2 linked regions of the Styela clava genome follow. The protein of the gene in region 2 purifies or fractionates together with the protein of the main gene of each other region. This does not show direct contact. Links are inferred from orthologs where the notes say so. Each region holds a gene or a part of one and is shown on either strand. Other genes may lie near its edges.

Region 1 (16,095 bases), on a different chromosome or scaffold from region 2:
CCAAAATAACTCAAACAAGAGTTAATTTTTTTTAGTGGTCCGATTTTGATGGGGCTGTGATGCCAAATTCTTAGCCATTTATAATAAATGATTTCTGCTCTTTCAATTCGGAGAAAATCAAATATTTGTAGTATGCAATCTCCTAATTCGCCTGTTGATAATGCCAAGAAAACAAGTGCTTTTTTCGTTTCTGTTAAATACCACCATTAGAAGTCTAAAATTCAGACTACTGAGAATATGAAATTTCAAATCCAGCGCTAACTCTCAACATTATAAAAAAGTGACTATTTTCAGAAAGCGAATTATAAAATGAACGAGAGAACAATGCTCAAATATATGGACAGTCGGACATGAAGTAGTGCGGATATCTGAAGTAGTACGGATATCTAATCTTTCACAGTACATACAGATACCATTACAGTACTTTTCCGACTACGACTGACCACTATATTGCAACGGTCGTGGAACTGCCACAAGGTGTGCGCGCACTTTTCAATTTTGAAGGTGTCATCATTCACAAAATTGGTACAGTAATTGAAAAAGAAAGTAATTTGGGTACAACAACATACCCAATGCATCTAGATTCCTTTCTTCTTCCAGAAATCTACAAGCTACGGCACAGAAACTACTATCATAACAAGAAACGAATCTTTGTAACGCAGCAGCAAGTTCTCTACGAACAAGAGGACTTCCATCAACTTGTCGCACAGGGATGAGGGCATTACCAACACTATGATCAATATGCGTGGCATGATCACTACCAGCTTCTGGTTGATTGTCTACGAAAGTACCAAGTGCAAATACTGCAGCAGCTCGGACCTGAACATTAGAACAGAAATTGTGATATATGTATTAGTAGTATCTTAGTATTACTGTGAGCTAGATCATTGGTTCCCAACCTTTTTTTCAAGCGATCCAAATTTTGTGAATTTATCATGTGACCTGAGGATATGCTCAAATACCAAACAGCGTTTAGTGTTTTCATGGCCGCAAAATTCAAAAATTTGATTATAAAATATAAAGAATCATATTTACATAACATTTATTTCAATATTATTATTGCCATTAGTGATTTTTTGAAATTGTGGTGTGGCTTTACTCGAGCAAGGAAAAAGCTCCCAAGTTTCTACGCTGCGATACCATCCAATCACTATCGAGCAACACTTCAATACCAAATCCAAAATAAGCAATAAAATTTACTAGGAAATAAAATTAACCCGTTGGGGTCGACCTGTTATTTAACACAACTTGATTATATAAGTAAAGTAGCATTTACCTCTGGATAAGGATCATCTAACAATTCATATAATTTCTCATGCGCACTTTCTCTAACTCCTCTCCATCTCGCAGCATCATAGTTGGTCCATACATGACCTATTGTAAAATTAAATGAAATATAAGTCAATCTGCACAATATTTTTTGATTTATAATTGGCTTATTTAGTAATAACATACCTAAGCATATTGCCACCCATTGTCTTAATTGCCATGTAGTAGGACCAGCGTAAGTGTCATCAAATTGGTCGAGACACGTTGCAACAATGTTTGCTTGAAGACAGGCTTCCTGTCCTGCAGGATAGTCTCTCATTATTTCAGTAAGCACAAACGTGGCCATCGTCCGATGTTCTGATGACATATGAGGATCTTGTAAAACTCTCAAGAAATAATGATGACCGCCATCTTTGACTAGATCAGCTTGACAGGCCTTGAAAAAAAAATTAGGACTTTTTATTGACAGAGAAATGCACCCTAAAAGAATCAACAGTGGTGAACAAGAACAATAGCTTGTTTATAAATGTTTCAGGGTAATTCTCCAACAATAAACTTCTAAGCAAGATTTAAAAGATTACGAAAGATTTACGTTATTACGAAAATAATACAACAGAGAAAACAACTTTCGAACCTTATATAACAAAGCAAAAACTGGTAGTTGAACATAACAAATTGGCTAGGTGGTATTGGATTGTCTTGAGTCTTGTTAAACGTAGATTTGTGAAACTTCACAGATATAAAAACTGAATCGCAACATTTATACATTTTCATTCTGGCGATAGATCATGAATACTATGAAGTTACTCACACAATCAACAGCTAAAATTTTTGCCCAGATAAAAACGAGCAGAGGTCGTAGTTCTTTCGCCAAACTTTGCAGAAGCTTCAATACATATGGAAAAATTCCAACTGATAATGCCAAGCTGACAGCCCATGGTCCAAGATCAAGGAAACTACCAAGAAGTTCAAGTGCTCGCAATCTGTGAACTTGACTAAGAAGAACCTAGGAATAAATAATGCAGTTATTTCAAATAAGAAAAATAGCAATACGTCTTTAAGTATAGTAGTTGAAGTCAATGGAAAAAATATTGGTGTAACTGTGCCAGTTTGTTTTATATTGTATTCTTATCTGCCATGTCTATGTCAAATATATAAGAAACAATTAAATTCAGTAGCTAATAGCTATTACCATGCCCTAACTGGCCTTCTTGGCATTAATCGTCCTAAGGCATATCCTACATTTCACAAGTCAAGAAATTAATAAACAAAGTGCAATGAAGTATTGTAAAAATAAATAATGGTAAAAAAATAAAATAAAAAAATAAAATACATAATGGTATTTCATTTACATCTCCAACCTTAATTCAATTAAGAATGATAATAAATTTATTCAATATTACCCTTCATCGTTTTATTTTCCACGAGCAATAGAAAATTTCATTTTTGACCTACAGGGAGAACTGAAGTATCGCACAATAAATAATAAAAGTTAGTGTTTCCTTATACAAATAACAATAATATCCTTTATTCAAACAAAAGGGGTTAAAACAAACCTGAAGAACAATAGGCAGTTGTTCCGGAGGTTCGCGCTCTTCAACTCCCAACCTCAGCCATACTTGAAATGCTGTCAGATGCTGGGCGAAAAATGGACTATGCTGAAAATACAAAACTTTCATTTATTTATTTGTGGTTATAAAAATATCAGACTTACAGTAGGTCTCATTTCTAAAGCCTGGGTGAAACTTACCATATTATTACTGTATGAATGACTTCTTGGTAACAAACTTACTCATAGTAAACTACATCTAAGATAAAGTAGTTAGACTACCAAAATAATTCCACATATTTAAAAGAGTGGAATCAACAGAATACAAAATCATAATATTAATTAAAACAGAAAGCGTATAAATAACTTTTTGTACCATCTTTTTCCAGTCTCAAGAACACTATATATTCATATGAAAATGCATAAATTTCATGATTTCAATGTATAGCAAACCTGAAACTGGTAGTTACTGGCTTCCTCAAGCATAGCGGGCAATTGAGAGAGGCAAATATCCACAGCATGGTCCCATGCTGCCCACATAGGATGTCGAAATGTAGGGGGCAGAGGTGGATGGGAAACTGGAGTGCAGTGATATGAACGCATGATCCTCTCAGCGAGTAGGAAATTGCGAAACAAACTAGCAACGAGTAGGTCTTGACGAAATAATTTTTGGAACAAATCTGGAAAAATGAGTTTGATTCAATTTTATTCTACTATGAATATGGATAGGTCATATAAAACAGAATTTTTACGATAAGTCTCAAGACTTTATATGATGAAATAGAGTCTTGCTACATACAATCATAAGTGTGCAAATGTTTGTCTGACAATGTCTGGCTTCGAACGGCCAAAAACATTACAGAAATACATTATTTTCAGTGTGCAGCAATACTTTTGTATACTTAAGAACTGTGGTTCTCAAACTTTTTAGGTCGTCCTTTTTAGAATTTGTCAAGTCTCGCGCTTCACCTCAAAAATAACTAGCTAAGATAAGCATAAGATCATATCATGGAGGCAAATAGAAAAACTAGGCCTGCTACATATCACCAGGGTTGTCTGTATTTACCTCTTGGCAAAGTGTTCCATGCAATAGTATCAGTAATGGCTGTAAATATCCAATTCAATTCACCAAGTGGAGTTCTTCTGTCATTCAGTCTTCCTGGAATCCTTGAAAACAAATGAAAGTTTTTTTTTTTTTTTTACTTGTAACGAAGACCTATTATAGATATTGCACACAAAAGATTTGGACACTATTTTTTTTTTAATAAAGGAGCGTGAAATCAACTTGTTCGAGAAAGTGTACAATACTTCGGCAAGATATTTTAGAGATTTTCCACTTGTTCCACTCTGTCCCTATTTTACTCGATAGAGAATGTATATTAAAAAATTCTGACTTTCGAATCTCTTTTTCACATTCGTCCAATAATAAAAAGCTGTAATTCTAATAAATACATACTTCTCAATCAATGACAGAGTTACTGAGGGCACCAGGGAGCCATGTTTCTGAAGGCAAAACCACTGAAGTGCAATTTTGATTGGAGTAGTCAAGCAGGAAGTAAAAAGGTCAGCAGGAAGTTCTGGATTCATTGGCAAGAGTTGAGATTCTGAACAAGCAGCAAGCTGGATGCAGTTTTTAGCATCAGACATGCTTGGCCCGATTGGATGAATACCATTGATCTGTTGAAAGAAATTTTTATTGTTATCAGTGCTGGAATAATCGAGTTAGGAACTAGGCAGAACTGAGTCGTCCGAATCAGGGAGTTAGACTTTGGGACTTGAGTATGCTGTTGCTAAAATTACAGATTCTTCAAAATTGCGACTTCTAATTCAATAGCAAGAATTTCAGATGGAAACTAAAAAAGTTAGGTATATTATGCATTCTTAAGAGACCATTAACTCTTTTGTTCCGTATGACATATATATTCGTACTACCATCCTTGGTCATAATAATTATTTTCGGACTATTTTACGTTTATGTTCATGTTTTGTGAAGTATTCCGCACTAACTAAATCATTTTGAGCATCCAACTATGATCCGTGCTTGATCTGTCAACATTTTGTTTTTTTGTAAATTTTTTATTTTACTACTAAGTGAATTTTTTTTGTGTAGGTATTTCAAAGCTTAGAGATACACGAAAGTATTTGTCATTACTTCAAAAATAAGTCATTTGAACAAGCGGGAAACAATTTCGCGCACATAATAAACAAACAAAGATTCCAGACAACTATCGTGGACATGCTCTCACATAACATTGATTATTTCGCGTTTCGCTTCGCTTGCGAAGCTGAGTCTGGTTTTTCTGCAAAGGTGACGTAACTCTCTTTCAGAAGAGCGCTTGGAATTTCGTTTCTTTGTAACACGTGTTCATCGAAGCGATAAGAGTGTGAAACGTTCTCTCAAAATTTTTTGAAATTTCTCTCTTCTTACACGCGTAGGGTCGAACGGTTTCGCCTACGTCATTTGGGCGCGTTTTAGTAGGAAGACGCGAAAATAAGCTTTTTAAAGAGATATTGGGGGTGTTCCTTGTACGTTTGGTTAACTGGTCATTACATATTATAAAATGGTACATAAAGTCGATTGTATACAGCGGAAAAAAAGGGTTAAAGAAAATAGCGTTGAGGAAGGAACGATTAGGTAGTCAAGATGCCCCCCAATCTAAAGTCAGGAGATGGGATTCAAATTTGTTGAATAAAAGTCGAGAGTCGTTTTTCAATGATTGGCAATACTATATAGAATTCATACCTGCATGTCTTTCTCCCTTTGTTTTGCAAACATTTTGAAAGAGTTGACAATAACACCAGAATTTGAACAATCATAGACAAATATTGATGGCGTTCCCATCCATGTTTGAAGATCATAAATTGATAGCGGAATATATTGAGTATATGTCTAAAAATAATATACAATTATTAATTAATTCTTTTTGCTATGATAATGCTAAACATGTATTAGGAAAAAGAAGTACCTTGTTGAATACCCAAATTTCACCATTAACAGTTGGCTTCGGAACGCCATGGCCATTATAATGAAATAAAACTCTTTCTTCTTTAGAATTTCTTCGCAATGAAGTACATAATCTTTTGACATCTTCAACTGTCGGATCTAGAGTTTGTTTGTAACGAGCCTACAAAATAATAAATACATAACTGTTTTGTAATATACTAAGTGAATGAATATATATTGTCTTACCATAGGTGACTTATAATTTTTATGTTACAATCTGGTCAGCGAAATATATATCAATACATTAAAACTCTATACAAAATGATAAGACAGGGGGGTGTATTAAAACAGTAATTCTTAAACTTTCACAATCCATGGCCCCCTGCATCTCTATAAAAATACCAAATTTTGAAGTTACATTTTGATCAGTTATTTTATGTTCCATGTTTAATATTAAAAAATTCAACAAAAGAAAGTAAATGCATTATAGTAAAATCACAGTCAATCTATTTAGGCCCTGCTTGTGGCCCGAGAGAACCACTCGTTGGGGGGCCGAGAGCCCTATTTGAGAAACCCTGTAGTAAAATGAATGCAGATACAGAGACTAAAATACTAACAGAATGTCAACTATCCTATTAATAGAGTTCCTGGGTCTGTCTGAATGGCAAGTAAATCTCATCCAACACTGATCATTGATCTCAGTCTGAGATTTGGTCAACCTATTTATTAATATTTTAAGTTTTCAAAGTATAATATTCAAACATCATACTCTTGATTGCCATCTTTCATACTGCTTTTGCAAATTATTTCCGATTGCTTCCAATGCTTTTTGAGGTGTGTAGTTAGATGGATCTATAATAAAAGAAACAAATTATATATAATTCAAGTCCTTTATTACAATAAACAAAGTATTTTAATTAAACAAACCTATCCAACATTCTTGTCTGGCACAAGGTGTTGTTTTCACAACATCTGGAGGATCGACACCAACATTTAAACATAGAACAAGTGCAACGCTGACAGTCTTCATCTAAAAATATAAAATGTGCTACTATTGAATATAGTACTGAGATAAAATCACCAATCAATCCCTTGCTAAAAAAATGCATGCCCATATTATACAATGATTGCAATAGAGCAGTGTTTCCCAACCTTTGATGGCTCGTGGCCCCCTTCCGAAAGCTTTCAGCACTCATGGCCCCCTGTTTATCATTCCAGTGGTATTTATAGTGTTACTTTGATGGGTAGATTCCAAATCCCATTATGTTCAAACAATTCATGTTCAACAAAATGAATCTACCATGTGAAATAACATTTCCAAGCAATGAAACTAGGAACAACAGGAAGTTTTCTTGTCAAGGGAAAAGTAAAATCAGTTTTGCGCCCTGCTCTGTGGCCAATTTACAGGGCCATGGGCCCCCGGCCGAGAACCGCTGTATTAGAGTGTTTATACTTGTAATGAAAAATGTGTACTGTTTTATTTGAAATTTTTATTTATATGTTTATAATGTGAATAATAATAACTCAGTTATTGTTAAAGGAATTAGTTGAAAGAACATTAATACATAGCAAATTAATATTTATATTTAAAGTAATAGTTGCATTTAATAGAATTTCTATAAAACCAATTCTCAACTATTCAAATAATAATATTATTCCAGTAACATCACAATTGAGTGAATATCTTCCATACTAAGTAAATATTCCGCTGAAGGGTTTTATATAAGAAAACACAAATTTTGATACAATGCTTAATTTAATTTGAATATACATTTCAACATTCGATCTACATGAATAGATATGCATACATGTTTCACAAAAATGCAACATTGGATGAAATAATACAATTATCATTAAATAATAATGAACAAAATTGACAGTTATAATATACAACAGAAACACCTACAAAACATCATATAATAAAACGCACCTCTATCAACAAAATTAAACAATTACCCTTTCTTTCATTCTCCATGTTTGTGTGACTGGCTTTGAACTTGTGATGCTTTCCAAGTGTCTTTTTTGTTGAAATGCCAGAGGTAAATTCCATCCTGCTTCCATCATATTATGAAGAATCTCAGCATCCTCATCTACAGTCTCCCCCTCTTTTTCTTCATCCTTTTCAATCCCTCGACCCAACATAGTCTTCAACCAAGCTGATCAATTTACTATAAAACTCTAGTAAAGGAATGGAAGAATGTAGACATTCGGTATAACAATTTTGGCTTCAGCCCTACAAAAGCTGCAAAGCCACAGCTGCACAGATACAAAAAAGGAGAGGTCTGCAAAATAATCAATCTTAACTTCTAAATCTGTATTTTGAATTCTGTAATATCAGTTTCATTGCAAGTTTTGGTCGATAGCATATGTGTAATTATTGAATGGATAGGATTTTCATATGAATCGCTGGGATCTGAATAGAAATCCAAGACTGCAATGATATTAATCACATATCATCATAATCGTACGTAATTTTGTAAAAGAACGACATCCATATTGAGACAAATTAGATTTGACAATACTTGTGATTTTATAGCTTTACTAATGACTTTATACGCCGAGAATATGAGAATGTCACAACACATCTGACATCTTTATGTTTATTTATTATACAGACGCTGTTAAACAGTGAGACAAATTAACATACACACATACAATGAACGCCGCACCATGGTTAACTGAATATAGTTAGCATGGTTAACTGAATATCATGACAAAGCTTTCACGAATATTTTTGCTCAATGCTGCCACCTTGTGAATTTGAACACCGCCACTAACCGTCAGTTTTGACTTGATTGTGTTTTTGTTTTGTCGGTTCCGTTTGAACTTTTATAATACTTTGCAATTCTAGCGCTGAGTTTGGAATAGAAAAGGTATGTAGACTATATGTAATTATTATTGATTCTCACAACAATATTGATATTGCATTTGTTGAATACAGCATTGGACGACAACTTCTGCTGTTCTGGGATTAGACTTTCCTGGCCATACATGCTTGCATAGCTTTTGTCCTTGTATAGAGTACCGGTACCGTAATCCTATTAGATTTTTTAGAAAACATAATACATGTACGGTAGTACAAATATAAAAGAAGGAAAACATGAAACTACTGTAATTCTATGGCTAGTGATAGTTTATTTTTTCTGCATGAATATTTCCCGTACCTTAAAGCGATTTCCCGTCATTCCCGCTTTTTGTGAAATTTCCCGCTTTTTAGTGAAATTTCCCGTAGTTCCCGCATTTTAGTTTTTGCAATTTCCCGTCGTTCCCGCAGTTCCCGCATTTTAGTGCATTTCCCGTTTCCCGCATTTTAGGGTTGCCCCAGGATTAGTTCATGTAAAAATATTCACAACAATAGGCTGACAAACTATATGAAAACTTTCAATCACAAGTTAATGTGAGATATATTACCAATATAAACAAAGTCACGAATAAGAAATCTCGCAGGAAATGATTTGTGTGTATTATGTCTGTATGTGGAAAAGAACATGAACTTCTGAGTCATCTATTTATGAACTGCAGAACTGTTTATATTTTGATTCATTGAAAATACTGTTAAAAAATTTAAAAAAATATTTAATGCTAGACTTTTGTGCCATTTTAATGCCAATATTGTGTTTTATTAGACTTTTGAGTTTTTTACTACTAGAAGACATTTGATTAGCCTATTATTGTGTTTTAAGTTACCATTAGTAGATATAAAATATGGTTACAAAAAAATGTATTATATGTCAAGGCAGTACTCGTATTTACCATATATAGTAATTAAACAAATAAAAACAGCAATCACTTATCTCTGTTTTATCCAATGCTGCCTGTTCTGAATTTATGTTCCTGACAAAAAAAATCTAATCATTTTTTTTTCTTCATAATTGCCTTTTATAGAATTAATATTAAAAAAATAATTTCAAGATGAGTTTGTCTCTACGTGGAGATTTTGGACTGGAAAAATCCAAACGAAAAAAGCGGAGGGAGATTTCAGAGGAACAGAAACAAGAAATTAAAGAGGCTTTCGAATTATTTGACACAGACAAGGATAAATTTATAGATTATCACGAACTCAAGGTCGCAATGAGAGCATTAGGGTTTGAAGTAAAAAAAGCTGACGTCTTGAAAATTTTGCGAGAAAATGACAGAGAAGAAACTGGAAAAATCAGTTTTGATGATTACAATGATGTCATGACAGACTTAATTCTTGAAAGAGATCCCCAGGAAGAGTTGACAAAAGCTTTTAAACTCTTTGACGATGATGACAGTGGTAAAATATCATTAAGAAATCTACGTAGAGTTGCTAGAGAACTTGGTGAAAATATGACAGATGATGAATTGAGAGCCATGATTGATGAATTTGATACTGATGGTGACGGCGAAATTAACCTGGAAGATTTTATTGCGATTATGACTGGTGATACGTGAAACAATTCAAGCTTTAAAACTATCAAAATATTGAGTACAAACATATCTTCCTTTGGAGAAAAAATTTATTTGGAAAAGTTCTAGAATAGCATCTGATTAAAAATGTATATATGTAGTTGTTTTGGGGATTTTGGTTGGAATTATCTGACTATATAGCACGGGGGAATATCTTCTTAATTTTGAACAGAGACTTTGGACCATAAAAAATATTGATAATTCTCTAAATATTAGTTGAGATATTTGCTCCGAAGTATATGTTAAAACTCCATCATCATTTGCACTATGCTTTGCATACAATCCACCCTTTTCATCAGTATACTTTTTATATCATTATTATAAATTCACTTTGCAATAGTATCTATTTTTGAGCGGAACAAAATTCATTGGCAAGGAAATATTCAATCCTAATTCATTCAGTACATTTTATAATCCAGGTAGAAGGCTGTAAGTAGCATATTTTTTTTAAATATTTTTGCGACAGCAATTTACACAATGTTTCTTCACACAACTTTATTATGTATAGTTTTCTATGTTGTTTTATTAACTGATACAAATCATCTTCACAGGAGAAGACCGGATATATAAAATAAGTAGGTACTTCTCGGGCATTGTCTCATTCAAAACCAATATATTTCAGCATTTGTGACAATCCTCATTAATACATTTATATAATCTATTACTCTATTGCTGCTTATTTTTTGTTGCCCCAGCTAATTTTACAAAGCTTGTTGTTTTGTTGTCAATTTTTCATTTTTTTGTGTAATTTAGGGAGATGAAAAGATGGTTGATTCAGTCATTTTTGATATATTTGTTTGCATATTAGTACTTGAATATACGTCTGTGAATAAAATTATTTTTGAAATTGGTGCATCACTCTTAAGGCTAAGCTGTAAATAAGCACCAATCGAAGCTGTCACAAATGTTGTTCGCCCTGGTCGACTTATCGAAAGCAGTCATCGGGCGACGGGTGTCCCCAACCAATCTAGACACTTATCAAATTAATTCTTTTAAATTAATTAATCAAATATCGAATCAAATATATGAGTCCAAACTGAATATGTACCGTTATCACTATTTTCGTCGATACCAACAAAACGCCGATATTTCAGATTGCCGATAATATTAGGCTTACCATACGTCCCGGTTTTGACGAGCTGTCCCGGCCGGTTGACTCAAATGTCCCGGTTTGTCAGCACGGCTGTCATGGGTGAAAAATTCATATTCCTTATTGTTACAATTTTTTTTAACGGTGGCAGCCCATTTACCACTGTTTTGCGACACACTTCGCTAGTTCAGAGAGTAAAAAATGCTCTATTGTTATGTCACAATCGGTATATGTTTTAATGCGTTTTCTGGCGTTAACTACAATGCCGTTAAGTTGTCGAAATGCCATAAAAGAAGTACAAATTTTCTAATGAGTTGAAAGGAGATTTTGCGCAAACGGAAGGAGGGAAGGTACACTGTACGCATTGCAGATCTGTTTTTCTATTAGTCAAGACGGTCGTTCTGATGTCAACGATCATATCCAAAGCAGGAAGCCCAAAACATTAATTGAGGCATCGACTCGACTGACCAATTTTTTGCGATAACAAATTCGGATGATTCTTTGTCGTTGGCAGCCGACATTTGCCTATCACACAAAGTTTTGACTGCACCTCTGAATTGATTTCAATTTTTTTTAGCCTAAATTTGCATTAACTTGTAAATATACACAGTTAGAATTTCTGATGTCCGCTGTCTGATAAGCGGATTTGCTGATTTTGCACGTTTAACCAGAAATAAATGATAGTCGATGATTTTTAATTGAATTGTTCCGCTGTTCTCCTCTGAACCTAATGATGATTTACTTTAAACCAGTTTCGTATCAGTAACCTTCGATGCATCAAACAGAAAGAATTTAAAGCTTGTTCCAGTTGTGGTTCGTTATTTTTTTACCTGATGTTGGTGTGAAGATAAAACTATTAGAATTCAAATCTTTACCCAGGGAAACCGCCAAAACTTTTACTGAATACTTGCTCTCTTTTCTCGGAAAAGTTGTTGGATTCTGTGTGGATAATTGCAACATCAACTTTGGAGGCGTAAAAAGACGAAAAACAAATAATGCTTTTTTTTCAAATTAAAAGAAATATAACCGGTATAGATTGTGCGTACCATGTAGTTCAACAGTGCACTGCGATGCCATTTTCAACATGTCGTAGATACTTTGCCTGTTTGTGTTGTTGTCAAAATGTATATATAAATATTATTACATTTACACTGTCCGAGTAACAGAGGAGAAATCATTCTGCAATTTTGTTGATAGTGAGAATCAACGGCTATTACAGCATGGCAACACTCGGGTTTTCCCTTTATTACCTGCTTTGCAAAGAATTACGGAACTGTTTGAAAGCTTGATAAGTTATTCAAATTCTCAAAAAGGATGTCCTACTCTTATGCTTGAATGTTCCAGCGTACGAACTTCACTTGAAAATTATCCTTTGCCAGCTCACCTACTTCAACAAAATTATTTTAATTTTGAAAAAAGATAATACTAATGCCGTAGATCAGGGGTCGGCAACTTACGGTTCCAGGGCCGGATCCGGCCCGCAGAATATTATAATCCGGCTCGTGACGCTTCACTAAATTAAAGTAACAAAACAGCCGTTTTGACGATTATATTTTTTAAACTAAATTATATTATAACCTAACAAGTATATAATACACCACTACTCGTTTAATGAGCCTATAATTTAATTATAATTAGGCAAATGGCAACAAAACGCAGAAAAATGATGCGAAGTTCAAAGGGTTCAACGGCGCTGAAAATATTCAAATGCAATTTTTTGCGATGCAAGGAGGAAATAAATCTATATTCTATTCGAAAGATGTATTACTGCTTGATTTTTATTATAAAAAGTATCATCCGTTCGGTTTCAGCTTTCTAAAAATATGTACGGCCCGCCAATGACTCGCAACCCTTAATTTTGTCCCACGAGCGACAAAAGGTTGCCGACCCCTACCGTAGATGTCAGAGGTGAAGCTAAATTTGAAGGAAAAAGGGTGGGGTCTTTTAATTCCGTCGCATTCACTTGTACTTCTGGAATCCTTGGAACGCTCTGGCGAAATCGACGTAACTGTATTTAAAAAGAATGTTTGCGGTATATATGGCTGCATGATGAAGCCTACAATGCTCCCCAGGCCCCACATATGAACAAATTCGAAGGGTGATTTAAACTGGACTAAAGTGTTTGGTATGCAAAATTAATAAATGATATGTTCGGTTAGCTAGTCTGGTTTTGAATAGAGATGCCCTTTTCGACGAATACTGATATAGAGATATTTATCTGAGCATGGTTCAAATGCAATTTGTCTTACTTTGCGGTTGAATTTAAGTGGACAGAGATGTTTAACGTTTTTTCTAACAGAAATATTAGCATTTCGAATTTGCAGAAACTCGTTGATTTTGTTTGCCGGAACATCGGCATCTGTTGAACAGATTTCTGGTCTGGAAGCAGGTTCAGAATGCCAGAAGAAAATATAAAAGCACTCGTAACCTGCAAATTTAATGGTGATGTCTCTTGTTATCAGTTTTATGACAAAATCAAAACAAGAATTTTTGAGAAGGGTTCCATCTGCGAACAAATACTTTTGGTCTAAATAAATAATACAAACTATTTTTTTGTGTTTTTTCTAATTCAATAATCAGTATAGAGATTTACAGCCGCAATGGCATGGGAGACGTTTCAATATTACAAAGACTGGCAATCAACCGAATGTTTGCCAAATCGCACCGTCCCGGTTTTTTGTTTCAGATTTATGGTAAGCCTAGATAATATGTAATTATCATCGACGTATATACAATCTTCCTGAGTGTGAACTTGGAAAGATATTAGATATATATTTCAGAGCATGAAAAATCGATATTTCTGATTCAGATGCATAAATAAATATGGAATCACCACTGATGGTTTATTAAAATGCCCATACGTTCTGCAGACGTTTGTTGTCCACGGGCGCTGGGAATATCGTGTTTCGGTTGATAAAAAGATCATAGCTGGTTGTCCACTATAACTGGTATAACGAATAAATGTTTACCCCTACTATGAAACCAATACATATAGTGGCGTACGCTGGATTTTGTATCAATACGATTCTGTTTTGTATTTCAGGCAACGAGAAAATTCTCTGTGACATTTGATCGTTATTTTCCTTCATAATTATTAATTACCTATTGCTATTGTTCAAAATGTAAATAACACAATTTTGGTATCGAAAATAGACAAATCAATTGATATAGTTTGGATGATAAATAGCTTGAAACATGGAAACTTTTGTACAAAGCTCCCGTCACTAATGCAAAAATGTGAGATTTGAGGAAAACACCCACGCCACTTTTAAAATAAAAAAACCTAGGTATTATCCCGGTAAGGGTAGGAACGATGCAAAAATTTCAATTGCAATATGTATTCCTAACTCTGACTGGATAAATATTAATTTTGTTATTTTAAGCGTTGTCGGGGAGTATTTTTGGACCTCCTGAAGTATGCGCACCAAGATGGCGTACATCCTGAACTCAGGATGTTCAGTTCAGGTTATGCGACATCTTGGTGTGCATACTTCAGGAGTACCGTATTTTTGGTAGGGATTTGTACAAAACATCCAACAATCAAGTGCATTTCTACTTAATAATTTCAGTGTAAAAATTTAGTATATGGTACAACGCGGAAAATCCACTGTGGCGTTTTTATAAATATATTTCATTTTCAATTACATTACATTTACGTATACACGTTTTTGAATACATTAGGCCGCCATAATCAGCGTTGTGTATATTTCCTTTAAATCTGCTTAAACTATAAATTTTATTTATAAGAGAATATAATCGAAGGAATTTATAAACATTGAAAAGTAATAAAATCTCGTGGTACCTGATATCGTGACGTCATTATACCCGTTTCTAGTCGCGAGGGTGGAACGCGAACATGCTTCACCGCAAAAAAATGATTTCAGTTATCAGCATTCGTATACTAATATATTCCTTAAAACATGTTGGATCAGACCAGAGGGCAGAATATATCGAAAATCTCGGTCTACCCGATACCGATAGCAAAAAAATGACCGATGCCGATATATATATACCGTGTTTCCCCGGAAATAAGACAATGATTGTCTTATTTCAATTTTCTTTCGAAAAAATAACACTAGGGCTTATTTTCGGAGGATGTTTTTTATTTTCATTCATCAAAAACAAAACTACAAAGTAGAGAATTACGAATTTTCAAATATGAGGAATACGAAAACCGATATCCATTTACTTATCTTAAATGATACGTTTTCCTGTTTCACACGTTTGAGATTAATCATTTGAAACGTGTGGAGGAGATTTCTTGCTATCGACTAGGTAAAAAAAAAATTCGCGCTATTGACCACTAGGTCTTATATTAAAATCATCCGTGAAATTCAGGCTGGGTCTTAACTTCAGGGTAGGTCTTGTTTTCGGAGAAACATGGTGTATACTGTACGTATATATATATATGTAAATCTCAAAGCCAAACCACGCATATAAAATGGGAATATTTTTGAAGTTTCGAAATCCTTGTCATGCTGTATAAAGTACTCCACGACACGGTTGAAAATTGAAGTCCCATGAGAGAGCTGTGGGAGTGAAGGGAATGATTTGCAATAACTTCGACAAGACGAAATTATTTCCATGTATTCAACTGACATCCAGATTTTCAAAAACTTGCTTAGTTTTCATGGTATGAAACAAACCTTTGACGTTATGTTAAATTTTGACACTGAGCTGTTAATACGAAATTAACACGATATTAAATCATTGGCGCTAACAACTACGAAATATCTCTTCGATTACGTTATCACGAATACATAACTATATGGTTTATTGATACATTCGCACGATACATTTACCAAGTAGAAG
Region 2 (16,558 bases):
TGCTATATGAATTAAAATATTTTCTTTGCTATTAAGATGATCTGTAAATGACAGTGACAGCTGACAACGTCAAATATTAGAATACGACAGTTATTGGCAGATTTTACAATATTGGTCGACACTTGTTGACACACACATTGTCTTAAATACTATTCAATTTACAGTCTGTTGGCCAACTTTGATTAATATTAATTGAGAATTAATGAAAATACACATCTGATATACTAGTTGAATTGTAGTTGAATATGTTCTTTCATTAGTTCTTAAATTTCATAAAATAAAATACAGTAGGCTATAGATCAGAGTTTCTAAAACTGGGGTCTTGTCCCCTCACAATTGAAGACCTTCACAAGATATAATTTGTGATTACTAAATTAATTTGAAGTAAACTGACTGCGATTCTTCGACTGTAATGAATTTATTCTTTTACTTCCATTTCTTGGCTTGTTTATTAGGCTATTAAATACGGCTCAAGAGGCACAAGTTTTGACTGTCTTTGGAAAGGGGCGTATTGGATGAGAATGACTAGTATAGATCATAATTTTGCAATAAAATAGAGTCATTTTGAAACACTCAAAAAGAAACTATTTGTAAGGCAAAATTATATTATTGAACTATTCAGATTTCTGATGTATATACATGTTCCATAGAAACAAAGAAATCCTAAAGTTTATTTTTCATATAATTTATCACTTGTCTCAATTCTGCCTAGGACTCTGGCTATTCCATATTTTCATAATCACAATTATGGCGGAGTATCACAATACAACCCAAACCTTCCAGCATCATTGAAATTAAACATTGAAATACTCAGAAGATTTGTTTCTGTTATATCTGTGGATGAATTACAGAGAAAATGTGATGGAAAATTTGACGTGGCATTATTGACAGGTACATCATCAACTTTATATCATATAGTAAGGCTGTAATTATTAGGTTCTATTTTTCACCAATCCAATTTAGTCTGCTGGAACTCTCATAAAACTAGTTTAGAACCTAAACATCATATTTTGTTGCATATAAAGATGACGTATGGATTGTGTTTCGAGAAATAGTTGTTGAGGTGTATATCTTGGTATTTACCGGTATGTGACAAAAAATTCTGCTTTTGAACTACTGGACCAAGTGCTTTTATTATTAAATCTTAAAAACTGGGCCACTATTCAATTTTCCACTGACTGGGTTTAGTGAGTTCATGTCCAATGACTAACTCAAGAGATTTGTTTATTGATTGCTCTTACTTGTGACTATAAGTCTTTCGGAGTTGAATAAAGGTAAAAAATAAGAAGATTCAAAAAGACTCATTATTAAATGGTTAAGATTAGGTTTTTTGTGCATAGTATAGTATGACTAGCATGTTTTGGTTATTGGGCCACAAAAAAATACACGACAAACATTGTAATAACGAGAAATTACTGAAAATTCTAAATCAATTTGTCAATTGTCAATGAGATCTGTTTCAAATTTTTTTCGGTATGGACCAGTCTAAAATGGAATCAAAAAACTATTTCATGCATTATATGGTTTGTTTTATTGAATCCTATAAAATAATTTAGCTCTGATGTCCAAGATGTGAGTTTGGTTTAGTTTGGGTTGGAACGCCTATCTTTAGTATAGGATTACCAAATAATGAATTATAAAAGGTACAAGAAACAATAGTAAATCAGTTTTGACATTCCTGATAGTGCATTATTGAAAATAATGAGGAATCAGATTACAATCAAAGTCAAACTTCATGTCATGCACTGCCAAAGCAATCAAGGTGTCAATCAAAAGTACTTCTAAAATATATCATTTATATAAAAGGTCACACCGACGTCTCTCCTGGAGTGGCAACTCTGCTTAAAGCACAATCAGAAGTTCAAATGACAATGCTCAATACACTCAACACGTCTGTAGAGACAGATTTCAAGTATGTATTATTGAATATGTTATGAATTTTGATTGTCCAAGTGTAACTTGAGAACTGAGAAGCTCAAAAAAATGAGGCAAATCTTAAAAAACTGGTTACAGTACTAATGCTAATAATGCTATCTTATACATACAATTAATATTGGTCGAATCGTTGATTGCTTATTCACAACTTAATAGATATTTTAAAATACCGTGCCTCTGTTCAAACCAATTGTGAAACAAGGATAATATATCGTCACAAAAATACCTATATGTACTCAGGTTGGTTTCATCGTATGATATTGACCAGGCAAGGTAATAACAAATATTATAGAAGATTGTTGATATTACATAGCAGACACAAACAAGTTTTTACTTGAAACCATTTGAAATTTTTTCTTTTTTTCAGAGTAAAATTCAGCATTCCAACTTATCCGAAAGGTTTAAAGAAAGGAGATAGAATCAGCATCATACCTAGAGATTTGGCAGATACATATCCAAAGTATGCTTATAATGTTAACTTTATTCTATATTTTGGTATATTATTCAAGTACTCAAGAGATTAGCAGTCCAATAGTTAATAAAAAAAATATTTCTTTTTCAGAGAGACTGACAGATACAAGTGTGCAGTTCATCCATTTCCTCTATCATTATTTGATGTTCAGTTATTTCTTCGGAAAACATTGAAGTTACCAAATCATAAAATGAATATTTTCAAAATGAAGGTAAAACTTTATTATTTTGTAGCCGCCATATAAATTATAACCAATATAACTATTGGTCGTTATAAAAAGATCCAAGGTTGACTTCATATAATATACAGGGTGACTCAAAAAACTAAACTCATAAATTTCTTAATGGCTTTTATGAAAATGAAGTAAATTCACTTGGACCTCTGTTCGTGTATGATTGTAACTAAGTTTCAGTAATCTAAAACATTTTGCACAAAAGTCATGTTCTCTCTAGAGTCTAGAACAGGGGTTCCCAAACCATGGGTCGCGACCCCAAATTGGGTCGAAGTGATAAGTAGGTAGGGTCGCAAACAGGTCACAGGGGTCGCTGAGGTATGATAGAGGATGGATGTAAAAAACATCTAAGATTTGACAAACCATGTTAAATTTTGCAGTTTGTACCATGGCTTACTGTAAAACAGGCCCATTGGCATCGCTCTATGCTTATGCTATAGAAAATGTAGGTATTTATTGTGACATCACTGTTTGGTTTTAGCTTATTTTACTTAATACCACCACATGACCAAACTCAAAAGTCCAGTGAAAGAAGCTCTAAAGTTTCATAAAAAATATATATATTGACCAGGGGTCGCACTGGACACTTGAAAGTTGTCTTTGGGGTCGTCCTGGAAAAAGCTTGGGAACCCCTGGTCTAGAATATGTTCCAAACGACCTTGATTCTATGAAACTTTTGTATGAATCAAACTAACGAATAGATTGTGACAAAATTGGGCTTAAAAGTACGGTACTTTTAAATTTTTTGTGATTATTTAGGATGAAGTTGTATATTCAGCAATCTGGTACTATACTCAACCCCCTGCATTTGTGCATTCCCTTGCAACTGAGATAACGGAAGATTTAATGAATGCACAAGAAATAGGTGGAGGGATATACAATTATATGTGCCTGAACTACCACAAGCATTCAACAGGTAAGATGAATGAAAATGGAGATATCACAATAATGGGTACTCCCATAGTATGTGTACCAGGTTAGGGTTAGGGCATAATTTTATTCCTATTTTCCTTGTTTTAGTTCTATTACGAGTTCAAGGACTGTCTGTGTTAGCCAAGTGAATATACCCTTATAGCCCATAGCTTTCAGTCCCTTTACACTTGATGTAAAATAGGCAAACAAAAAGAGTTACCTACCTATTGGTACACATATTTCTGGAGCGCCTAATAATGAATATGGCTTTGAGTTCAAATACTGCATTTTCACAGATTTGGCTTTAACATTTTGAATATTCCAAAACAAAATTTTTACATCGTGCTCCACTATTCTGATATAAATATTTGGGAGATAAGCATATTCAATTTTGATGATGTTCTACGGCTTCTACCTTGATGACCAAATAATTTTTTTTATAACAAGATATCACTAGGTCTAATGCATATATATTTAAAATGTTTTATTAATATAATATACCAGTTGTTTATATCTAATAATAAGTTTTAATGTCAATGCCTGAAACAATAAAAATACCACGACAATGTCATCTATCCCAGCTAAAGGTTTATTCAATTTCAGGTAATGACGGAACCTCAGGAGATGATGTTGATATGAATACGCTACGAAATATCATCAATAAAATGTTGGAAAAAATTGCAAAGACCAAGAAATCCCTCAAACTAAGTGGGATATATATATCGTCACCCCTTTCAAAACAAGGACAAGCAAATGAATATAGATCAAACTTAAAAATATATGAATACAAAGAGGAAATCCCGGTATATTCGGGTGAAGATATAATAAAGGTGTGGAAAAAAAACTATTATCACGGAGAGCGTAATGCACCAGAAAGCATGTGTTCTCTGCTGGAAGATGACACTCAAGATGTGTTATCGTTAGTTGAAATGCAAATTTGTACAAATGCAGCAATATTTATTCGATCTATTGGATCATCATGGGCAGCTAATGTTCAAGTGAACAGAATAAAATCAGAATATTCTGAACTTGACGCGAGTATAAAAGGACTTATGGATGAATATCATAAATCCAAGACATGACCAAAATAAGAATTTCTTCAAACTGTATTTAATGATCAGTAATGTTGTTAATACATATGGTATGGTCTGATGGTCACTCTGAATAATGAAATATTCATAATTTGTGAGCTTTCATTGTTTTATGTTTCAACATTATAGAAATAAAATTGTCACACAAAGGTTTCAAACAATTTCCAATGCAATATCTTAATTAATTATATAACTAATTCAAAACATTGTTGTATGAAGAAGATATTATTTGGAGATATCAGATTGAACATATTTGATAACAAGACTGACATAAGTTTTAATGAAAGCAATCGCAGAAATTTCGATGAAGCATAGCTGACATTGCAGGATTTCTATGAACTATGATTTTCCTTTATTAATAAGAAATAAATCCATGTTTTCGGAAACAAGCGGAATGAGTCTGTTCCAGAACGCCCAAAATATATTAAAGTCATAGGGTTTACTTCCATACAAGATGCAACAGTTATGAAAACTCTAAATTGGGTCCTAAACAAAGTGCATTTTAGATACAACGATTTGAGTTTTCCACGCATGGTTTTGGGTTTTTAGCAATGTCATGACGCTGTTGCTTCTGAAACTGAAACCATGGTGAATATTAATGCAAGAGTTTGAATCGTGTTTCCAGTTTAATAAGTTGAGGACAAGGTATACCTAATCAAATTGATGGACAGATATGGAAGATATGAAGTTGATCTGACTTTTGTTGTGTTCAAAATTGATTGGCATATTGCTATTTTCATTTGAAAATTCAAATTCAAGAAGTGTAAGTATGAAGGTACATCATTCAATAACTACTAAGCAAAGTAGACTTATGCATTTCATCATACTGGGTCTACTAGGCTCTTGAATAAGGCTTACAACAACTGCAATGTGATATTTTTATTACATTAGCTTCCACTTACTGCGCTGTGTCTTCGTCCTTCATTCCTTGGTGCCCCAATCCATTCGATAGCTCGACGTACTTGAAATTCAATATATTCAGTTCTGTGGTTGCCACCTGCTGCAGCCAACCGTCCAAGTGCTTGTGCAGCCATTTCCATAACGACTGATAATGAAAGAATTATTCATTAACACATTTATATTTTCACTTGAATTTTTTGGTTTTCGTTTTTTTTTTCTTGATTTACAAATGCAATATTAATATCAGGCTGCATTAAAATTTATATTAGATGAAAACTTTTTTAAAAAAAATAGGCAGAAGTGGTATGAACCTAAAAAAAGTTACCGGTAGTTAATAGTAATCACTGGGTTAACTGTGCGGTCCGCCATAATTATTAAGCAAAATAAATGTCGGTATTCAATATGAAATATATGATATAAAAAATATTTTGTAGAGTATGAGTACAAAAATGTATATTTTCAAGTTATTTTATTAATAAAATGATCACTCTGAGACTGTAAATTTTAGACTATAATTTTGTATGATAAATAAATTGAATATACACAAAGATAAGCAATAAGATTGGTTATATACCAATTCCAGATATATTACATTTCACAAACCAAGAATTTGCTTGATAAAAGACCTTTGCAGTGGAAACTCATATGGCAAACAATATGGCAAAATAGCTTTTTTGTTATTATTTTGCATACTATCATATAGTGTTCATCATGAAAGTTATCTTAAGAAATTTTTTAAAAAACAATTGAATTTTAGTAATATTTATCTCATTATAGTAAGAGATTCGCTTACCGACATCACTGGATGGAAATAAATTTCTTAAATAATTTGCAGCTCTGTAAAGTGGAAAATGGGTTCCGTCTTCCACTCCAATTTGACTCACTGAGAGCAACACAGAAATAAAAAAATAGTATGTTTAAGACAGTTATCAAGTAACAAAATACATCGCTTATGAACATTTAGAGAAAATCAAATTCAAATCAGCAAAAAATATCTTGGAAAGCAAAAAAATTACGAGAGAAAATATTTGGTGAAATAGTCTACTACTGTACAAGTAACAATCAATTTAATATTAAGGACTGTTGTTGTGCCATTATTGTTTCTTATAGTATTTCAGTTTTGATTGAAAAGTTAAAAAAATTAAAACAGTTAAAATCTACTACTTCTATGATATATCCACGTAAAGTTACCTATAGCTAGTATTCCTCCTTTCTTTTCATTGTTATCAGAACTTGACATCATTTCAAATATTTGATGATTCAATTCATTCATAAACTTTGCAGCCTGTTCATTCGCCAACTCTCGTACTTCTACAAGAATGAAAGAGTCGGTTTTCCATCAAGAAAAATATACAGTAACATGTAGATATAGCTGAAGACTTAAAATTTGTGTTTTTTACAGGTTTCAGAATAATAGTCGTATTTTCAAATCACAAGCTTTAAGAATCAGAATAATTACAGATCTCCAATGTAGGAAACCACGGAGTTGTCAAATAAATCTAAAAGTGATATACTAAGCATAAAGTTTGGTATTCAAAATTATGTTGAATAAGATCAGGATTCAGGTTGTGCTTCCAATGACTAAGAGTCTAGTGAATTTCTTAAAACTTATGAAACAATAAACAAGTTTTCGCAGCTGTAAAATGGGCCAAATTGAATAGATAAAGAAGAAATTAATATATACAACCAATATAAGAAGTTTCAGAGGCAAGGAAACGCAATAATAAACAGAACAAAATCAAAAGTTACTCCAAATATATGTCGTATATTCAAACGTCTAAAAATTATAATACTTCTAATTCAATAGCATATTGAATGCTTTTCTGAGTAATTTAGATAGTATTGTTTGAAATTCCAAGATACACGTTTGAACAACCACATAATACCAAGTAGTGAATATATTTTATCTTTGTGAAGTGAGGCAATAAAATGAGATAATATTAGATATCCTAACACCAACCACCTACCAGTGTTGATGTAATGCTGAAGTGATAGAGCAGTGTTGAGTCTTGTTTCCTCATTTCTGCTTTTTAGACCTTGAACAAACTGTTGCACGGCAGACATTATTTCTGTGTTGGCTTTCTACCGAATTCTCCCAACTGAAAAAGAGATAAAAAAATATGAATTCATAAAATCTTATACGATTCTCCTATTTACCTGATTGAAGAGTTTAAATTAACTTTCCCGTTTGTAAATCTAGAAGAAAGCAAATTCAAACCAAATCGAAGCACCAAAAAAAAAAAATTCTTACGTTGGTAGTTACAATCTACAAGGTCCTATATTCTTCACTTGATCCAAGAACCAACTTTGATATCAGAAATCCCCGGCATGACAACAATCTGGTTTAGACTGATAACATACATACATCTTGCATAAAAATTAAAAATATAACAAAATTTTTGCAATTTTATAGTAATTCGAGGTACTGAGTTCTTCTTTACAATATATTATGAAACAAAAAACTTGGGAACCATGCTGTTATTGAGTAGTGTTCAATAGATGAACAAAGAGAAATATATCACACTTTGAATTCCTTCATTCACATATTATAAAAATGTGGGCGATACAACAATTACTACATCATGCTATAACTGGAAAGCTATTACGGTACCTTCAAGTTTGCACCATATCCATGAAAACAATTTCCTTGAACCCACCAATTTGATCACATTCTCAAACAAGGCAAATTGACTTAAACAAAACCCACAAACTAATATAAAAACAAAGTAAACGAATAAGTCTTGGATATTGATAAATTGTCAGAACCACTCATATCACAGTGATATTAAAAAAACATAATATTTAGATATTCAAAAAATAATCAGCTACTATCTCTGCAAATGCACATGCATCAGAAAACATTACGATCATGTAAGGCATTTTAAAATTATACTTCAAAAACTACTGATTTGATTAAATTATCTAAACATGGGCATTAAAGAAGGCAGTGGACGATAATCGGGTTGAATCTCTTCAATGCAAAAATATATTAACATAAGTGATGATCTGACATACAGGTAATGAACTATTCCAAAACATTATATGTATCACTGGACTGGACTGAACTTTTATCCTTATTAATCGTTTCAATTAACGTTTAAACAGACTAATGATAATTTTGATTTCCAAGTTACATTCATCAGTAACATAGGACCTTTTCCTCAAGCAGAAAGAAGCACCTCGATAAAATAGGTATCACAAAAAATATACCTGGTGACTGGTGAGGATGAAAACACCTCCATAGTAAAACATATATCTAAGTACCTATACAATTAAGAAGCAAGAAGTCTAAAACTGATTATATAACTTTACTTACTATTCTACCATGAATACTGAAGGAACATAATATTTTATAGATTTCTCTTTAAATGGAGGAAAGGCAAGAATATAGTTTTTATTACTATTATACAGTAATATTCACAAATCATTATATAATAGTAATCACTATGGAGGTGAACGTCTGTTATTCAACTGTCTCTGAAGTTTTTTGTTCATAACTTTCAAATCTCTTATTTCAGTTTCAAGTATGTGTATTCGTTCAGCCTGTTGGTCAATGATTTTATCCTTCGATTTTTCAAAAAAGTCTCCTTCAAAAATTTCTTGAGAGCTTGGTCTCATTTTAGGATCATGATTCAGTAAGGAAGTCAACAATTTACCCAGCTGTGGATATTTAAGAATAAATTCACTTGGAACAATTTGATTACGCAATTGTTTGAGATGGCTTGCTCTTTCCATTGCAGTTTCAAACGGTGTCCACAATTCATAAGCAACAATAGCGAAACTGTACATATCAACTTTTGCATCATACACATCTGCAAAAAGTTGCTCTGGTGCAGCATACGATGTTGTACCAACGCCCGAAGTGTGACTGTCAGTACGACGCAAACCCATATAAAAAGTATTTTGACTACTATGATTTAAAACAGTGGAATCAACTGGACTTGCAAAATTGTTTTTGGCGAGACCGAAGTCTCCAAGTAATAAATGAGGTTTGCCATATCCAGTTAAATTTAGAAATATATTGTGGGGTTTAACATCTCGATGAATCAAATCTTTGGAATGAATAAAGTTGAGCGCAGATACTATTTGTCTCATGCAATGTAAAGATGTGCCTTCATGAAAGCTTTCATTCCTATGAAAAATATTCTTATTCCTCAATGAAAGCCAGCGTTTCAAAGATGTCTGACAAAGTTCCATTTGAATGTTAAGCACCAGCTTTCCCTTCCTTAAATTAGAATGAACGAAACTTTTAGATTTTTTCCCTATTGCCACACAATCCAAATCTAATGAATTTGTAGATAAACGATCCTGAAAAGTGCTCAAAGACTGAGTACGTACAGGTTTAGTGAAATCTCCACGATTAGCTGCAGAAGGCAAGTCTTTGGTAATAATAAAACTTTTCACTCTGTGCATATTCATATCTCTTCGAACGCCATGAGTCAAGATAGTTTCCTTGGGAGGTGACTCGGGATTCGCCGCTGATGATCTGTCATTGTAACTCGTATCAATACGACGAGGCTTGGAGTCTTGGAACACAAGATCCTCATCAGACTGAGGAGGAGAAATAGAGAAATGAATCTTTTTGTTTTGAACACTCGCACTTGTTTCAGATGCACTGCTGCCACCCCAAAACTTGGACAATTGGATTTTAGATCTATTTTTCTTATTCTTTTTCAAACCATTTTTGGAAAAGCTTTGAAAAGGTTTTGAATCATTATCACCAAATGAGTAAGAATCATCATGAGATGAACCATTATTTGAGCACTGTAAGTTATTCACATCCTCAAATAAATCTCTTCGTCCCCGAACTCTCACCTCTTCTCCAACATCAATATGCTCAATCCAAGCACCATGATAACGAACAATGTTTTTGTGACGCAAGCCAGCCAGTATACGCACTTCTCTAAGCAGTATTTTATCACTCTCGCCAACTAGTGAATCGCGCAAAACTATTTTTTTGATAGCATACTCTTGTCCATCAATCTTGCTTCGCGCACGGTAAACACTGCCGTAACCACCAGAACCCAGTTTACCCAATTCGTCAAATTCTTGACCATACCTTGAAGTATCAAAGTCGAAAACTTTTGTTTGGTCAGGAATGATGGGTTTGCAATCCATCAGTCCTCCAGGATCAAGCAGTTTTGTAATATCACAGTTGGCTGGAAATGCTGGCTTTGAATCTAGCTTCATGATAGATGATTGTATAATGTTGTACAGTGTTTTTTTATATTGAGTATGCACCGACGTAAATTCTTCCAAATATGCAACGGGAGATATAATCCCCAAATTTGCGAGTTGATCACACAGAATAAAATAAAGTTTTTGTGATTTCACTTTATCAGTTTCATACAGTGAGCATAATTGTTCAAGAAGTGAGCTAATCAACAATGATTGCCTTATAATTGGAACATACTGACTTTTTACTTTTGATGAGGAAGAGCTCAGAGATGATCCAGATACTGTTTCACTGTTATGTTCTAACAAGTCAGAATTGTCAAATTCAGTAACTGGTGCAGCATCGCATCGAAATATTGCAAGTGTGTTTGGTATTGACTTCTCCATCTTTCCACAGTATAGCAGTAACACGATAGCTTATCAGCCAGAATAGACAATAGAGAAATCCACAAATATGCAATTCCTGAACATCTCCATTACTGCATTATGTAAAAGATCCCAACAAGACTAAATGAACAACTTAAATATTCATTCTTCTGTTCGTAGGGAAAATACAATTAACAATTACCGTACTGAATTAAATTCAACAAAGCTTACAAAGGTTTAAAATATTGAAATGAGTCATACCGGTACTGTCAGAGATGATTGAGCTTTTTAAAAGTTATTCCAGTTCTTGAAATGCAGATTTGGTAACAATGCCTAGCTATAGTCTATCTCACTGCTGTACCGTACTAGCGTACGGCCCTAATTTATACTCTTTTTGACATTGTGATACTGCATTATTGACAATCCCTGCATTTTATTTGCAAACATATCAACATATTGGCCATTTTCCCGGTCTCTTTCGCCATTTCTGTGTATTGTTTTTTTTGTGTGCGTTATGTGTTGTGTAGACAAAAAATCGAAATAAAATTGTATTGTATATGCATTTTTGATATACTTGTTTTACATTCTTTTGTACTTTTTCCAACAGCTATAATATTGCAATTCCCAGAATACATTAGACTACTATTCTACCAGAATACAGTTTTTGAAACACTATAAAAACTTTTGAATTTGTAGCCGACATAAAGAGGATAACTGGATAAGGTGAATCTAAAACAAGAGTCCAGGAGTCGGGTCTGCAGCCGCGGGTGGAGAGATACGGTACCGTAAAAGCGCCTAACTTCGGACAGTTCCTAACTTCGGACAAAATTTTTGAACGGCCATATCTTGGCTAAAACGCGCCGTATATTGCTAATTTTAATTATTATAGGTTGCGCTGTTATATCTACATCTATTCTCATCTTTTTTAATGTTGCATAATTATTTTTTTGGTAAAAAAACGGGAATTTTGCCGAAAATTGACTGCCCGGCATTCAACGGCGCAGAGCGTCGCTCCAACTGAAGCTATCGTCATCAAAATACCATCATTCGGTAGACGGCGACAACAATGTATATAATTTATTTGAGTGATCGCAAGATGTCGTACGAGATTTAAATTAAATCTAAAATTCTGAATTATAAATTCCGTAAGAATATTAAGATTTCACGCAGCGTCAAAAATTACGTCAACCTCACGTAGATTATTTTTCGCTCACTTCCGACACGACGTCACACTGCGTCGCGGAAATGAATTTTGACGCCAGACACAACGGAGCCAATATGACAATTTCCGTTAAGATAAAGACGGCGTTTCAATCTAATATTTTTGTATTTTGTTCGGTCATGTATGAATATATGCCAAAATTACATTAATGAAAATACATGTCACACTTAATCGATGACGTTAAATATCGAATATATAATGAACTATGATAATTCCAACGTCCATATGGCACAGTGCACTGACTTAACCATTATTTTATGATTAGTAGTCGAAATGACAGTTATTAAATACGGCCTGGGTGAATTTTATTCACTCGAAATTAAAAATAAATTTAATCTCCAACAAATAAACGGGACCTACATGTTTACAAGATTAAGTTGAATTTTAAATTAAACTTTACAATCGGATTTACCGTGTGTTTGATATAAATTATCATTTATAAAGATAACCGCGCAGAATAAAAAAAAGCTATCCGTCGAGAATATTAATACTTCAAAGACTTCGATAGAAGCCCGTTAAAATACTTCATTGTGGATTGAAACGGTTTGCATCAGATATATTTACGTATGCATTTCCTGATTAAAATGACTAACGTGTTATTATACTCATCTGAAGTATCGAAAATAACGAACAAAAGATGTAAACATAGGACGACGGAAGTTTCAAATAATGCATTTTCGTCGTGACGCCAATGTTACGTTACGACGACGAGCGTCTTATCTTCACGCAACGACGTGATTACGGCATCCGCATCGGAAGCCTCTTTCTCTCTGTGCGTCGCGGTTACGCAGTGAAGAAAATGACTGTCCGAAGTTAGGGCAGTGAAGGATAACGGTCAGATGGCAAGAAATATCGATTATTTCAATAGTAAAAATAGTCCAATTGAACCGAAATTTGCAGGGAATGTAAATTACCGCACGAATGTTTTACCGAGCAATTTTGGCACCGTTTGGACAATAAATGGCCGAGTTATTGACGAAAATATAGTAATTTTGTCCGAAGTTAGGCGCTTTTACTACAGGTATACAATACCGGTATTGAGTTATTTCAGTATTTATATTAAAACTAGGTCTTGTCTGTCTGTGTCTGTAGGTTATGTTTTCAAAAAAGAATTAAAACAGTTTGTGTTTTCAAAAAAGAATTAAAAAATATTCTAAACTCAAATCACCGTATTCAATACTGGTATCGAGAGCAACTTCATCACGGCATTAGACTTGCACTCACTGCAGCAATGTATTGGATCACCTTCGCTTCAATACCGTATATTTTTAACCGATCGCAGAGGTTTTGAAGATTTATAATACCGTATTTATTTATTTAATATTAAGTGGCCCTTGGTCTTGAATCTTCAGCAAGGGTCGCGACCCCATTTACACAATTAATCAATAATTAAAGTATAAACAAAATAATATTTTTGCATAGTTGATATATGCGAAACTTCAGTTGAAACCTGCCTAAGTAACTGAAGCGCAGACAAACACTGGTACATAGTCATAGAACGAAGCTGGTGTTATTTTCTCCGCAACTCACGGACCATATGAAATGTTTTCGCGTGGGATAGATTCCGTAGTATTATATATTTACGCTGTTATCGAACACGAAATGGGCCTATGGATTGTTTTGTTATTTTTGTTGTTGTTGATCATCATTTTAATTTTTTTTCTCTTGTTATGAAATTCTCAATAACTTCTGTAAATATTACTTTTATTTTATTTTTCAAACTTTCTCTGAGCACTATGGGACCGATGTTTAACCAAAATTTTGTTTTTTTAAACAAGAACAATCTTTATTCCGTATAGATCAGACGCCGACCTTTCTGTAAACTCGATCCTCAGATGTATTGCTTAATTGCAATCGCCAAAGTTGATTTATTATCACAAAAACACATCCAAAAGTTGATTTTTTTACAGCCGCTTTTACGTTGTAGGTTTGTTACGTTATTATGTAAAAATAACGTATTTTCAATTGCTGGTGTATTCACTTCGTATATATTGCTTCACTCACACTGCACATGTGCGGTATGATTTGATCTGAGTTTACTTGTATCAGAACACTTGCGATACAGAAGTGAACGCTGGAGCGGTGTTAATATTTTTGAATACTTATGCTGTATACCGGTGCAACATACTAGCTAATTATTATTGCCAGTATTCCAAAGGCAGTTCAATCGTATTTTAGCGGTCCTTTATAGTGCTGTCGATCGCCGTGAAAACCCCGCTTCGTTACAAATTTGTTAGAACGTGGGTGACGACAATTGACTTATATTTTGGGGTGCTCCTGAAGTATTCGTACCAAGATGGCGCACAACCTGAACATAGTATGTGTACCAGGTTAGGGTGGTTCAGACTGTGCGTCATCTTGGTACGAATACTTCCGGAGCGCATATTTTGGATTCTGTTCAATACATGACGGCGAATGCTTCATAAAAACTTTGAAGGACTCTACTTACCCATCAATTCTACTGACACAATATGACAATATTTTTGTCAACTTAACTTTGATGAAAAATCCCGATTGCAAGCAGGATATGATTTTCTCAACGACTTTTTGGGTTCTCGGACTTGGTGGGACGATTGTTTTCTTGGGTATTACTTTTATTATTTTTCTTATCATTCGTGCTATTTCTCGAAGAGACTAGCTTTGTGGAAGAAGAGCAGTGTACTATTTTCGTTAATACACTGATTATCCTAGCCGTGGTGAACATTTTAGCGACTATTCTTTCAATTTTAGTGTGGCTCGTAATTCACGGCCCACGCTTTTGCGAAAGTAAGTGTTGCTCTCAACCTAGCAATACCGACCAAGCAATAAAGGAACCTGAACAATCTGCTCGTATTCAATATATCACCACCCTACCGACATGTTCCTGAATTACCGGAATTAAATTGAGAACAACGAATAGAAAACCCGAATTGTATCAGTCCAATAAAGCCATCAAGATACGATCGCCCATTACCAAAGACATTAAATCGCATCTCCTCCATTAGACGTGATAACTTAAGAGTTAGACAGTTTGCTTCATCAAATTCCGTTGCAGAACATTAGTTTGTTAGTTCTATTAATTTGGGCAAATTCGGATTGAGAACTGGACATCGACAGAACAATATACATTTCGTCACGCTAATAACCGAATTGTGTAAGTCATTTTTGGCGATTTTGAGATTTTTATAAAATAGGTATTTATGTAATGCTGCGCACCTGTCTGTTAACTCAGATTATATTTTAAGAATTCCGAAACCCGTAAAGATGGAGATTCAGTATGACATTCACATTTGTGCAATTGTTTCGTCATAATGAATTATCATTGGTAACGCAGGACTATTGTGACGTCACAAAGACAAAATGACCTCGGCGAAGTATTTTCGAGTTTTTACATCTCGGATTCTAGCTTAGAGCGTATTAATTAGAATTTATACTACAGACCAGTGGCGGCGCGTCAATAGGGCCAACCGGGGCAATGCCTCGGTTGTTTTTTCGGTATAATAAAAAATATTCGAAAAATACCTCAATATCGGTTGCACAGACTGTCTACCTACACTAGCCATATTCTCCCGACATGGTTCATTTTTCGCTCGCAAAGCCTTCGCTGAACGTCGACGGGGCGACGCCGATTTTGCCCCGGTTGCTCATTGTATATCGTATTCTCTCTTTTATCTTCCACTCGCCGCGTTTGTCTTGTTTGTTTTCTGTTTCTTTTACTAAATCATCGGGGCTAGCCCCGAAATTATGACGACACAATGCCGACGTTTCTTACAACAACGTTTTGACATATTCACGCATTCCTTCTCGTTCGTTGGTTGCTTGGAGAGTTGATAGTTTCCTCGCCTTCGTTTTTGTCGCTTGTTTCGCTATTTGAATCAGTTAGAGACCTTTAGTCCATTTGCTTTCGATTTTCCACACTCCTTTTGAGCTCCTCACTTCTTTCCGGCTTCGCATTTCTTAGCCTTAGACCTCATAATGAATAAGGTTGATGCACTACTTCGCACTCCGTTTTCGCAGCTGCCGCTGGAACAAAAATTAGAGGTACAACGTCTTGGGCCTTATCAACCAAAAAATTGTTCACTGGAACAATCCCATGACGGAGAAAAGCGTCGGCGTACATTCTGCGCAGAAACTTGGTATAAAAAACACGAATGGTTGTGTTACAGCAATGACATTAAACAATGTTTAATGTCATTGGTTACAGCGAGGACAAAAATGCACTTTTTTGTTTTTATTGCCTACTTTTTGCTACCGCCCGTGACTTACGTTGGTGT

The links.
Region 1: the proteins of serine/threonine-protein kinase mTOR-like (region 2) and regulatory-associated protein of mTOR-like purify together in Drosophila melanogaster (affinity purification with western blotting; 3 studies listed by BioGRID, with this or other methods). This does not show direct contact. The link is inferred for Styela clava from reciprocal best matches to the Drosophila melanogaster genes mTor and raptor.

Annotation. Positions count from the first base shown.
Region 1 is NC_135263.1:8,822,464-8,838,558, reverse strand, and holds the start of regulatory-associated protein of mTOR-like, read right to left. Parts: upstream 8,054-16,095; 5' UTR 7,905-8,053; coding exon 7,719-7,904; intron 6,793-7,718; coding exon 6,690-6,792; intron 6,615-6,689; coding exon 6,532-6,614; intron 5,944-6,531; coding exon 5,785-5,943; intron 5,709-5,784; coding exon 5,562-5,708; intron 4,496-5,561; coding exon 4,275-4,495; intron 3,986-4,274; coding exon 3,885-3,985; intron 3,499-3,884; coding exon 3,272-3,498; intron 2,928-3,271; coding exon 2,826-2,927; intron 2,276-2,825; coding exon 2,081-2,275; intron 1,706-2,080; coding exon 1,456-1,705; intron 1,375-1,455; coding exon 1,277-1,374; intron 820-1,276; coding exon 570-819; intron 1-569. Other genes in the region: centrin-3-like, read left to right, coding at 9,675-10,178.
Region 2 is NC_135254.1:21,271,830-21,288,387, reverse strand, and holds the start of serine/threonine-protein kinase mTOR-like, read right to left. Parts: upstream 7,920-16,558; 5' UTR 7,794-7,919; intron 7,642-7,793; 5' UTR 7,607-7,641; coding exon 7,510-7,606; intron 6,854-7,509; coding exon 6,734-6,853; intron 6,426-6,733; coding exon 6,336-6,425; intron 5,688-6,335; coding exon 5,545-5,687; intron 5,060-5,544; exon of another isoform or gene 4,634-5,059; coding exon of another isoform or gene 4,155-4,633; intron 3,556-4,154; coding exon of another isoform or gene 3,399-3,555; intron 2,619-3,398; coding exon of another isoform or gene 2,498-2,618; intron 2,396-2,497; coding exon of another isoform or gene 2,303-2,395; intron 1,913-2,302; coding exon of another isoform or gene 1,807-1,912; intron 892-1,806; coding exon of another isoform or gene 713-891; intron 1-712. Other genes in the region: uncharacterized protein LOC120344269, read left to right, coding at 713-891, 1,807-1,912, 2,303-2,395, 2,498-2,618, 3,399-3,555, 4,155-4,633; eukaryotic translation initiation factor 2-alpha kinase 1-like, read right to left, coding at 8,987-11,104. UniProt on the Drosophila melanogaster protein: Promotes cell and tissue growth, maintains tissue homeostatis and controls responses to environmental stress and aging. Regulates growth during animal development by coupling growth factor signaling to nutrient availability. Central regulators of autophagy.